Arabidopsis thaliana: one gene and its partner. The protein of the gene in region 1 interacts with the protein of each later gene in a biochemical or structural test. Each region holds a gene or a part of one and is shown on either strand. Other genes may lie near its edges.

Evidence for each region.
Region 2: the proteins of GBSS1 (region 1) and AT5G39790 form a complex in vitro, tested with the Arabidopsis thaliana proteins (one study listed by BioGRID).

The regions. Positions count from the first base shown.
Region 1 is NC_003070.9:11,919,839-11,925,398, reverse strand, and holds GBSS1 (UDP-Glycosyltransferase superfamily protein), read left to right. Parts: upstream 1-1,532; 5' UTR 1,533-1,781; intron 1,782-1,874; 5' UTR 1,875-1,892; coding exon 1,893-2,234; intron 2,235-2,313; coding exon 2,314-2,394; intron 2,395-2,485; coding exon 2,486-2,584; intron 2,585-2,657; coding exon 2,658-2,747; intron 2,748-2,921; coding exon 2,922-2,985; intron 2,986-3,083; coding exon 3,084-3,184; intron 3,185-3,322; coding exon 3,323-3,432; intron 3,433-3,520; coding exon 3,521-3,764; intron 3,765-3,847; coding exon 3,848-4,024; intron 4,025-4,107; coding exon 4,108-4,386; intron 4,387-4,489; coding exon 4,490-4,618; intron 4,619-4,700; coding exon 4,701-4,817; 3' UTR 4,818-5,009; downstream 5,010-5,560. UniProt on the Arabidopsis thaliana protein: Required for the synthesis of amylose. Destroyed as it is released from the starch granules during the night. The circadian expression is controlled by CCA1 and LHY transcription factors.
Region 2 is NC_003076.8:15,932,013-15,936,826, reverse strand, and holds AT5G39790 (PROTEIN TARGETING TO STARCH (PTST)), read left to right. Parts: upstream 1-1,556; 5' UTR 1,557-1,705; coding exon 1,706-1,709; intron 1,710-1,903; coding exon 1,904-1,937; intron 1,938-2,065; coding exon 2,066-2,291; intron 2,292-2,396; coding exon 2,397-2,494; intron 2,495-2,948; coding exon 2,949-3,018; intron 3,019-3,245; coding exon 3,246-3,351; coding exon of another isoform or gene 3,352-3,446; coding exon 3,447-3,535; intron 3,536-3,629; coding exon 3,630-3,742; intron 3,743-3,840; coding exon 3,841-3,943; 3' UTR 3,944-4,270; downstream 4,271-4,814. Other genes in the region: AT5G39800 (Mitochondrial ribosomal protein L27), read right to left, coding at 245-309, 1,097-1,247; AT5G39785 (hypothetical protein (DUF1666)), read right to left, coding at 4,612-4,814. UniProt on the Arabidopsis thaliana protein: Involved in targeting GBSS1 to the starch granule.

The sequences.
Region 1 (5,560 bases):
AAAAAGAAAAAGACTGTGGTGTGTTGGAAAGCTACTGTGTGAGTCAGAGAATTTATAAAAGATGTAAATGTGTAGGAGAGAAATTACGTGACTATTTCCATTTTACTTGGATATTTTTTTTTTCCTTTTAGCCACTAGTGGCCGGTTACTGTATAGTAGTACTGTGTGATAGTACCTTTTAATTTCGGCGAATACCCACCAATGAAGAAAATGACTTAAACGTTGCAACTTGCAAGGCTACTTGGAAACTGCAGATTTTGTGTAATACACTATTCCCACATATCTAGTACTATTTCTGAATTGTCACACATTTTCATTTAAGTAATTGATCTTATATCTCATTTTAAAAAAATAACTAAATTATGGAAATGATTGGAGTTATGTTCCAATGTTTGGTTGGAATCATAGAGATGATAATCACCACAACAACATCATCAGATCCTTGATGATTCCTTGACTCCTTTGGTTTTGGCTAGCTCAAGTGGTATCCTCTCGGCTACATGTCCAAATCTTAACAATAATTTATTGTTCCGGTAAGGTTTACTTCAATATGGTATTATAAGAGAGCATCGAATTCGGATAATAATTAGTTCCGAGTTTATTTTTTTTTCATATCCGAATTTATTTTTTTTATGGTGACATTTTTTCTTCTGACTATGGATTTATTAGATTGTCAGTATGATTATGGTTTTTAATATTATAGACTTGTGAGACATGAATAAACATGGTTTTAAAAAATAATATGATGGAATTTCTGTTAAAAAATAAAGACTTAGTTTTAAATTTATGTTAAAATGAAGAATTTGGACGGATGATCATGAGATTATAATATGAAAATATAAAATGTTCATTTCACGAATCATAATTTTGTGTCCGAATTTAAGAAATAAAAGTTAACGTCAAAATGGGCCAAAGACTATGTTCTTGTGGATGCGTGAAACTGTCTTGGAGAGATTGCAACATCATCACACGATCTCCTATGTTGCGACAAATCACTCCTAACCGTCCACAATAACCAAAAAATATAATCATGACATTAACTCCTTTCTAACATTCCAAGATTTGTTAAACAAATTACTACTTAAGATGTGACTAATGGAAATTAAATAACTTAAAGTAATTGAAAGGGAAGGAAAAATGATGGTGCATGAAAAAATTCTTGAAATAATTTATTTGGCTAGCCTCTGATATATGTGAATCTAAATTATACATATATACGCAAGAAACTTGAAAATTATGCAATCACATTGACATTATCAATTTAAACTTAAAAATTGCTATTTAGTAATAATCAGTGGTTAAGCTTACACAAAACTAAATAAATAAAACATGACAAAAATTCTCGACCGTGAATTTTAACAAATGGGCCAAGAAAAATGTCGTCCAACGGTACGTTCATGAGGATGCACGACGACAACAGAAACACTTGTGTAAGCATAGGACCCACTAAAAGAGTCCCAGTTTCCCAAAACCAACAAATCTCAGCCGTCGATTCTTAGCCACTCGGACCAAAACGTACGCATCAAAATATCGTCCTCCCAAAGTATAACCTCAAGATTCTCACATATTCTCAGGCAATGCCATTGAGTATTTGAGTATTGACCCTCATCATGTGATTGAAAATCGCCACTCAACAACTATAACAACGCCACGTGTCACTCGTGTCAGTCCAAGCCTCCACTCTTCTTCTTCTCTACATAACTGACCATTCTTCTCCTCTGCTCTCTTCACTTTCTCATCTCCTCCATTGGCTCTTATTTCCTCAGTTGCCGTGAAAATCTGTGAGCTTTTTCTTCTGTTTAATGTAAAATTTGTCAAAGATTGTATCTTTCTATTTAAAGTATCGATTTTGATTGTTCATCTGTTGAATCCAGGTAAACGGGTAGTTCATAATGGCAACTGTGACTGCTTCTTCTAACTTTGTGTCAAGAACTTCACTTTTCAACAATCATGGTGCTTCTTCATGCTCTGATGTCGCTCAGATTACCTTAAAAGGCCAATCCTTGACTCATTGTGGGTTAAGGTCATTCAACATGGTGGATAACCTTCAGAGGAGATCTCAAGCTAAACCTGTTTCTGCTAAATCCTCAAAGAGATCTTCTAAAGTTAAGACTGCTGGTAAGATTGTGTGTGAGAAAGGAATGTCTGTGATTTTTATTGGAGCTGAAGTTGGTCCATGGAGTAAAACTGGTGGTCTTGGTGATGTTCTCGGTGGTCTACCTCCAGCTCTTGCTGTAAGTTCATATAAACATTAGCTTGATTTGAGGTCTTTACTTGTTTTTTGATGAACCTACATGTTATGACTTTTGTTAGGCTAGAGGCCACCGTGTGATGACAATTTGTCCTCGGTATGACCAATATAAAGATGCTTGGGACACTTGTGTTGTGGTTCAGGTATAATTCTCTCAAGTTTCTTTTGCTCTGTATGGACCTTGATGAATTTTGGATGCTTAGGTAAGTCATCTTGGAATGTTATTTGATGCAGATCAAAGTTGGGGATAAAGTTGAGAATGTTCGTTTCTTCCATTGCTACAAACGAGGAGTTGATCGTGTCTTTGTTGACCATCCAATCTTTCTTGCTAAGGTCTGTTTATATTGGTTAGATAATCACAAGGGTGTATTGTACTTTGAGCTAATGAGGAATGGTAATAATGCAGGTTGTGGGCAAAACAGGATCCAAAATCTATGGTCCTATAACTGGAGTAGACTACAATGACAACCAACTCCGGTTCAGTTTGTTGTGTCAGGTAACACTCTTTCCTCTTACTTCTGTAGTTACAGTTGTGTTGTTTCTGAATCGTGGGTTCTCATTTGATTGAAACATGTAGCCTACAGAGATTAAATTCATAAATAATGCAGAATCTGTGTTTGAATAGCGTACAAGCATGAGCAATAACTTGATTTACTTTGATCGTTGGTAGGCTGCTCTTGAGGCACCACAGGTTCTGAACCTGAACAGCAGCAAGTACTTCTCTGGACCATATGGTAAGAAAATGATTTCTCAATTCTTAATTAAAATGGTTTCTAAAAAATAAAACTTCAATTTTTGAAAAGTAACAAAGCCTATCTCTCTGATGTTATAGGTGAAGATGTAGTCTTTGTTGCCAATGACTGGCACACTGCTCTACTTCCATGTTACCTCAAATCTATGTATCAATCCCGCGGAGTCTACATGAATGCAAAGGTATAGATATAATTTTTGTTCCTTCATCATGTTAATTAGCTATTCATCTTAAAGTAGCAAACATTACCAAATCTTGAACTGAAACTCTAGCTTTGATACTTTTTACAATGAATATCAAAATATTTTACTTTTTTTTAGGTGGTCTTCTGCATTCACAACATAGCCTACCAGGGAAGATTTGCCTTTGATGACTATTCCCTTCTCAACTTGCCCATCAGCTTTAAAAGTTCTTTCGACTTCATGGACGGGTACTGGTTTCTCTGAAGAACAGATCATTACACCATTTTGTCTCATGTTTCAATCTTAATTTACTGTAACTTCTTGTTCCATTTTCAGGTATGAAAAGCCAGTAAAAGGACGGAAAATTAACTGGATGAAGGCTGCAATTCTGGAAGCTCACCGTGTCTTAACAGTTAGTCCATACTACGCTCAAGAACTCATCTCTGGAGTTGATAGAGGCGTGGAATTGCATAAATATCTTCGAATGAAAACAGTTTCCGGAATTATTAATGGAATGGATGTTCAAGAATGGAACCCGTCTACTGACAAGTACATCGATATCAAATACGATATTACCACTGTAAGATTTCTCTTGAAGATCAGTGCATTAGGACAGAAGAAGTTGCGGGAAATCTTTACCGATCTTGCTACTTGTTTTTACAGGTTACAGATGCTAAACCATTGATCAAAGAAGCACTTCAGGCTGCTGTTGGACTTCCCGTGGACAGGGATGTCCCGGTTATCGGTTTCATAGGGAGATTGGAGGAGCAGAAGGGTTCTGATATTCTAGTGGAAGCTATTTCCAAGTTCATGGGGCTCAATGTTCAGATGGTTATCCTTGTGAGTACACTAAGCAGTGAACTTGTGATCATAACGTCTTTAGGATCACAAAGTTATTGATTCTTGTCTGATGTTTTTCACAGGGGACTGGAAAGAAGAAGATGGAGGCTCAGATTCTTGAACTAGAAGAGAAGTTCCCAGGGAAGGCGGTTGGAGTGGCGAAATTCAACGTGCCATTGGCTCATATGATCACTGCTGGAGCTGACTTCATCATTGTCCCAAGCAGGTTTGAGCCGTGTGGTCTCATTCAGCTGCACGCAATGAGATATGGAACCGTCCCTATTGTGGCATCTACTGGTGGACTTGTGGACACTGTGAAAGATGGCTACACAGGTTTCCACATTGGAAGATTCAACGTCAAGGTAACTCAAAATCACCAGCTTTTCGCGCTTTTTCTACAACAGTTTCTTTCGACATGACAACAAATTGATCTAAAATGAGTTACCATTTTGCTTTGTTATATAGTGTGAAGTTGTGGATCCAGATGATGTGATAGCAACAGCAAAGGCTGTGACAAGAGCCGTTGCAGTATATGGAACATCCGCAATGCAAGAAATGGTCAAGAACTGCATGGACCAAGACTTCTCCTGGAAGGTCAGTGATTCAGTTCATTCTAAAGTTTGAAACTTTGTTTATATTGAGTTGTTGACATCAATCTTGATTTGATGTTATGCAGGGACCTGCGAGGTTGTGGGAGAAGGTACTATTGTCCCTTAATGTGGCGGGAAGTGAAGCCGGAACCGAGGGTGAAGAGATAGCTCCTCTGGCCAAGGAGAACGTAGCGACGCCGTGAGAATATGACTTTTGTTTTGTGTCAAAGTGGTTTGAAGAAAGCGTTGGGAAGTTAGGAGTAGGGAAGGTTGAGGAAAAGTAATGTATATTGGAAATGTTAGAGTCTAATATAATAATAAAAAAACTTTGTGAACACAATCAATCATATATAAGTTTATCATCACAATCAATAAAAAATGGTAGAATTTTACAGAATAGTTTCAATTTATTGTCACAATAATGTTTAACACATAAACACAATCAAACTAATAAGAAGATAAAATTTGAATGTAAGGAGGATATATGGAGGGAAAACGGTTAAGAAGAAGAAGAAACCGTTTCTTTTCTTGTTCGCTACGTCACAAATCTTGCTCAAATGCAAGATTCTTTACCTCTTTCACATTTCAGTTTAGATTTCTCGGGTTTATCTTCAAGTTTTGTGAATTGCTTAGGAGAGAAGTCAAAGAAGAGAGAAAGCCACGTCACTAAAACCCAAATCTTGGTCTAAAAACGATCTCACAAGTAAACAATCTCTGGTGATTTCTAGATGGACGACGAAGCCATGATCGCTGCCATTCAAGCTGGTGTTTGGTCAGAAGATCCTCTAACACAGCTTGCATGCACTACCGATATCAGGAAGCTTCTATCACAGAGTAAATCAAATCTATGGTTGACGGAAACTTACAGTTATTCTTTTTTGCTCTGCTGACGTGGAGGCGAAAACAGAGGCGACTAGGGTTTTTGCTTTCTCTTCACGCATGTTAC
Region 2 (4,814 bases), on another chromosome or scaffold:
TCACACAACAAAGGTTAATGTAATTAAGTAAGCATTCCCATTTCAGGTCCCTAACTCAAAAACCTTACAACAAGAACAAACCAAGATAATTATCAGGATGAACCTAAGGAGATTCTACCAACAAGACTTGTAAGAAGATTTCTCACTAATGTTTGGTTCTCAAGTTTCAATTAAGATGCAAGGTACATACTAGAAGTATCAAAGATAAAAGGAACATAAGAGTTTAGAGGGTGAAATGAAAAACCTTAAAGCCGGTGAGATCAGGGACTACGTAATTCGGCAACTTATCTGGCTGCACAACATATCCTCCTGCAAAAACACCATGTCATAAAACTTAGGTAAAGATAAAATGAAGTCTCGAAAACAAATGCAAAATACATATACAATATGATGATCAGTTTTTTTTGCCAAAATGAAGTCTAGAAACAAATACAAAAACAGTATACTACACATGTACAATTCGAGTTAAGCTACCACATTTATTTGAGTGGAAAGCTAACTTCTTTAACTCAATTTTGGCAATTATGAATCTAGTAACACATGCAACCGATGATCAGTTCTTTGCCAAAATAGAGTTAAAGTTGTTAGCTTTCCTCCTAAACAACAATCTGGTATCTAAAGCTTTGCCTTAGATTTCATATATCTAATAAAAACACTCAATTATCAAAAACATTATGATGATCATCAATTGAGTTAAAGTTGTTAGCTTTCCCACCAAAAGAATCTGATATCGTAAGGCATGAAAACTAAACTGATAAAAGCTCTGCCTTAGGTTACATATATCTAATTCAAAACCAAGAACAACAAGATTCAATCACCAACTAACTAAACAAGTGTTAGATAGAAATGGATTGCAGCATGACAAGTGAAAACCAAACCAATAGTTGCAGTTTCAGTGAACCTTTCCTTGTTAGTAGTTTTGCCACAATTGAGTTAAAGTTGTTAGCTTTCCACTCAAAGAATCAATCTTAAGCCATGTAAATTCCTAACAATTAGTTCAAACAACAAATAACACAAGATTGCAATTATCAACTAAACTATAACAAGTGTTAGATAGAAATGAACTGATTCTCAAAATTAGGATGAAAGTTGGAACCTTTTCTCGTGTGGAAACCAGTAGGTTTGCAGTTTTTGCCCTTGTAAAAGTCTCTTGGAGCTCTTTTGGGAGAGAGAATGTCAAGAGAAGAAGATCTCTTTCTTCTGAATGATCTTCCAATCCCCATTAACAATCCTCCTATCGTCGTCATTCTCCACCAAATCTATCAATCTCAATCGATGGAATAACGGATCTATATCAACTATTGAGAAAAAAATACGGAGCTTGAGAAGAGAAGAGTGTGAAAATCTCAGAGAGGCCAAAAAATAGGGGGTTTGTTTAAGTGAGGTTAAAGGTTGAAGACAGTAAACGGTGTCGTTTGTTTTGGTGGAATTTGGAAAATTGTTTGTTTTCAGGAAAAATGTGACTCTTTGAAACTATAGGGACCATATTTGAAAATTAGTTCTTAGATTTACGCACGTGTTTTGTAGCCATTGATAAGAAAAACAAATTAGATTTTTTATTTTTGGTTCTGGGGTTTATCAGTGTTTCCAGCTTCTTCTTCTTCTTCACAGCTTTCTCGATATTTTTGAGAGTTTTTAACCAAATTAGACATTTTTAATCAATTTTTTTTTGTGTTGAGCAAGACGAAAAGAGTCTAATCCAATCATGGGTAAGTCGAAAAATCATTCCTTTTTTTAATTTTTTTTGGTTCACATTTCTGTTGAATTCAAGTTCTATAAAAGAACCCTAATGTTTAATTTAGGTATATATGTAAGATAAGTAGCATTTTGATTTATGTGAGACATTACTGAATTTTGATGATACAAGTTGAAGTTTTTAATTTTGTGAGTCTTTCTGATGCAGGATGTGTACCCAGAATTGAATTTGGTTGTTCAAGGTACAAAATTTCATATCTTTTTCTTATTCTAATTCACATTTTTGCTGATGTGAAACCAAACTTGTTATGATTCATCATTATAGTATTTTAAGTTTCTATTAGTTGAAGTGATTCTTCTTCTTCAACAGCCAAAGCCTTACTCTTTCATGGAACTTAAGAGCATGGAATTTGTGTAGATTGAACACAATCTCCCATTTCCAGAAACTTCCTTATCCTTTGGTAGCTTCTACTCGAAAACATTACAAGAACAGTTTGCTTTTGAAGAGATTTTTAGTTGGTGTTGGCACTGAGGAATCATCACTGTCAGAAGATTTACTAGATGAATCTCTTTCTCGACCTCTCACTAGTGATGAGGTTAAGCTTTATCTTCTTCTCCTGTTTATCTAAGCGTATGTGTTCTCAGATGATAAAGAAACTATGTTCTGTACCAACTAACAAACTCTCCATTTGGTTCTGTAGTTGAAGTCACTGCTCATTGATACAGAGAGATCAAAGCTTGTTAAAAAATTGAGTGAAGCTAATCAACAGAATCGGTTCCTCAAGCGTCAGGTGCTTGTGTTATATTTATACACTTACTTTAGTACCTCTATCTGTCCATTCTCTTAGATGATTTGAGAAACCTGCAACCTTATATCCTATTCTATTTAAGAAATTTAGTGTCTATCAGATTTTATATTATCACACTCTTGGAAAAATACTGAAAAACCTCCAAGGTTTAAGGGAGTTACATGTCTGTGATGTCACAGAAACATTTTCCTTCACTTCTCTTCTTTTTCTGTAAACCGGCATTGTATCAAATTGGAAGATGATGATGAATCATTTGCATACTTAAATACACTTTCCACTGTTCTTCATCTGTGTGTTTGATGAATCTTGTTTGAGATTTAATCCTCAATACTTATATTCTTGATGCTATTATACATCATCTTTTTTCTTTGTAAACAGACATCGTATCAAGGGACAAAACGAGTTATTTGACTTGTTTGTTGACTACTTGAACTCTTTTTGCAGCTTTAAAACACAGGAACATGAGATAACTAACATCAAAACTGAGCTTGCACTTATGGAGCTCGAAGTTCAGGTCTTTATTTCTACTTTTGATTTTTCAATGTCACGGTCTCACTATCTCATTGCCTTAAGCTGATTTGGTTTAGTTGTCATTATCCCATGTCTACTGCCAATCAAATACATATTTTTGTTGGTTATAATATTGGGAAATATTTAGCTTCAGATTTTTGTATGCACAAGCACATATGTATAGTTTCTTTAGTAGAAATGTTTCATGATATCACTTTCTGGAGGAAATAGGCTCTGGTGAAACTGGCGGAAGAAATAGCAAACCTTGGTATCCCACAAGGTTCTAGAAAAATCAGTGGAAAGTACATTCAATCGCACCTTCTCTCTCGTTTAGACGGTTCTTCTCATCCCCTCTTGGTTTCATCATTATTTAGGCGCTCATCAAATCCCTGGAATGATATACTAATTTTTTATTTTTTTCTCCCACTAAAGCTGTTCAAAAAAAGATGAAAGAACAAATAAAAGGTGTCGAGGCTGCACAGTCAAAGGAGGTTCATGTGTTCTGGATTGGCATGGCAGAGGTAGTGTAATAATCTCACATTATGCATTTTAACATTCTAAGCTTAATATATTATCCTCAAAATTAATCTCATTTGTTGATTATCTTCACATAAGAGTGTACAAGTAATGGGATCGTTCGATGGATGGAGCCAACGTGAGGATCTATCGCCTGAGTACTCAGCTTTATTCACCAAATTCTCCACAACGTTATTCCTTCGTCCCGGGCGGTACTATTTAAATTTTATTCTACTCTTATTCTTTTGCATTCAACATCAACTTTTAATGTTTGAAATTATTCGTGTTTTCAATCTCTTGTGAAATTTAGGTACGAGATGAAGTTCTTAGTGGATGGAGAATGGCAGATCTCACCCGAGTTTCCTACTTCAGGAGAAGGATTGATGGAGAACAATGTTTTAGTGGTGGAATAGCCACTCATCTTTCTGCATTACACCCGTAAACATTTAAGATTGGTGTGGATGAGATTGTAGACAATAGAATCTGAGTATTAGATACAAGGAATAGTATAATAGGTGGCAGGAGTCATTTGGATTTCTTATCTTTTGTTCACACAAAATCCAATCAATTTTTCCCATCTCTCAAAAGTTCTCTTGGTTTTGATTTCGTTTCATTGTTGTTTTGGCATTAGCTTTGAATCCATAGAGAGAAGATAGGTAGGTTCCATGTACATCAGAAATTTCTTGGTTTGTAAGAAAGAGATATTGGAAACAGAAGAATGAAGAAGAGTTTAGAAATAATGTACTAAACCAGAACTAGTGGTTTCAGGTTATCCCGGAAAACGAGTGTGTGAATCTATAGAGACTTTATTATCAGTAGACTCTGGTCCATTCAGTATATTCCGGTCAAGAGACATTTAAATGAACTAGGGAGATAACCGGGTTTTGATTAACATTTTGGAATTAACCAATTTGGTTCAGTTGTGGACCACATCCAACCCTAGTGAAAATCAATAAAAGTCATCAAGTGTAATAGCCAAAAATTGATGGACTTTTTATGAGTCTTACTTAACAATAATATGAGGCCAAAATTTGTATTTTCATTATTACTCCAATGTACAAATTTGTCAATATCAAAAATCTCAACAAGGGAAAAGACAAAAGGAAGGATCTAAATGTAACCTTCTATTTACGAAGTTAATCTTAGTCAACTTATTGTGACACCAAACCAAATGGTCCCTAGTCAATTTAGACATATTCAAGACTCTTGTCACAAGTTTCATGTCTACTTGTGAGAAGAAGTGAAGTACTTGATCTTCTGTCGAATCTTCTTCCTTGTGCTTTT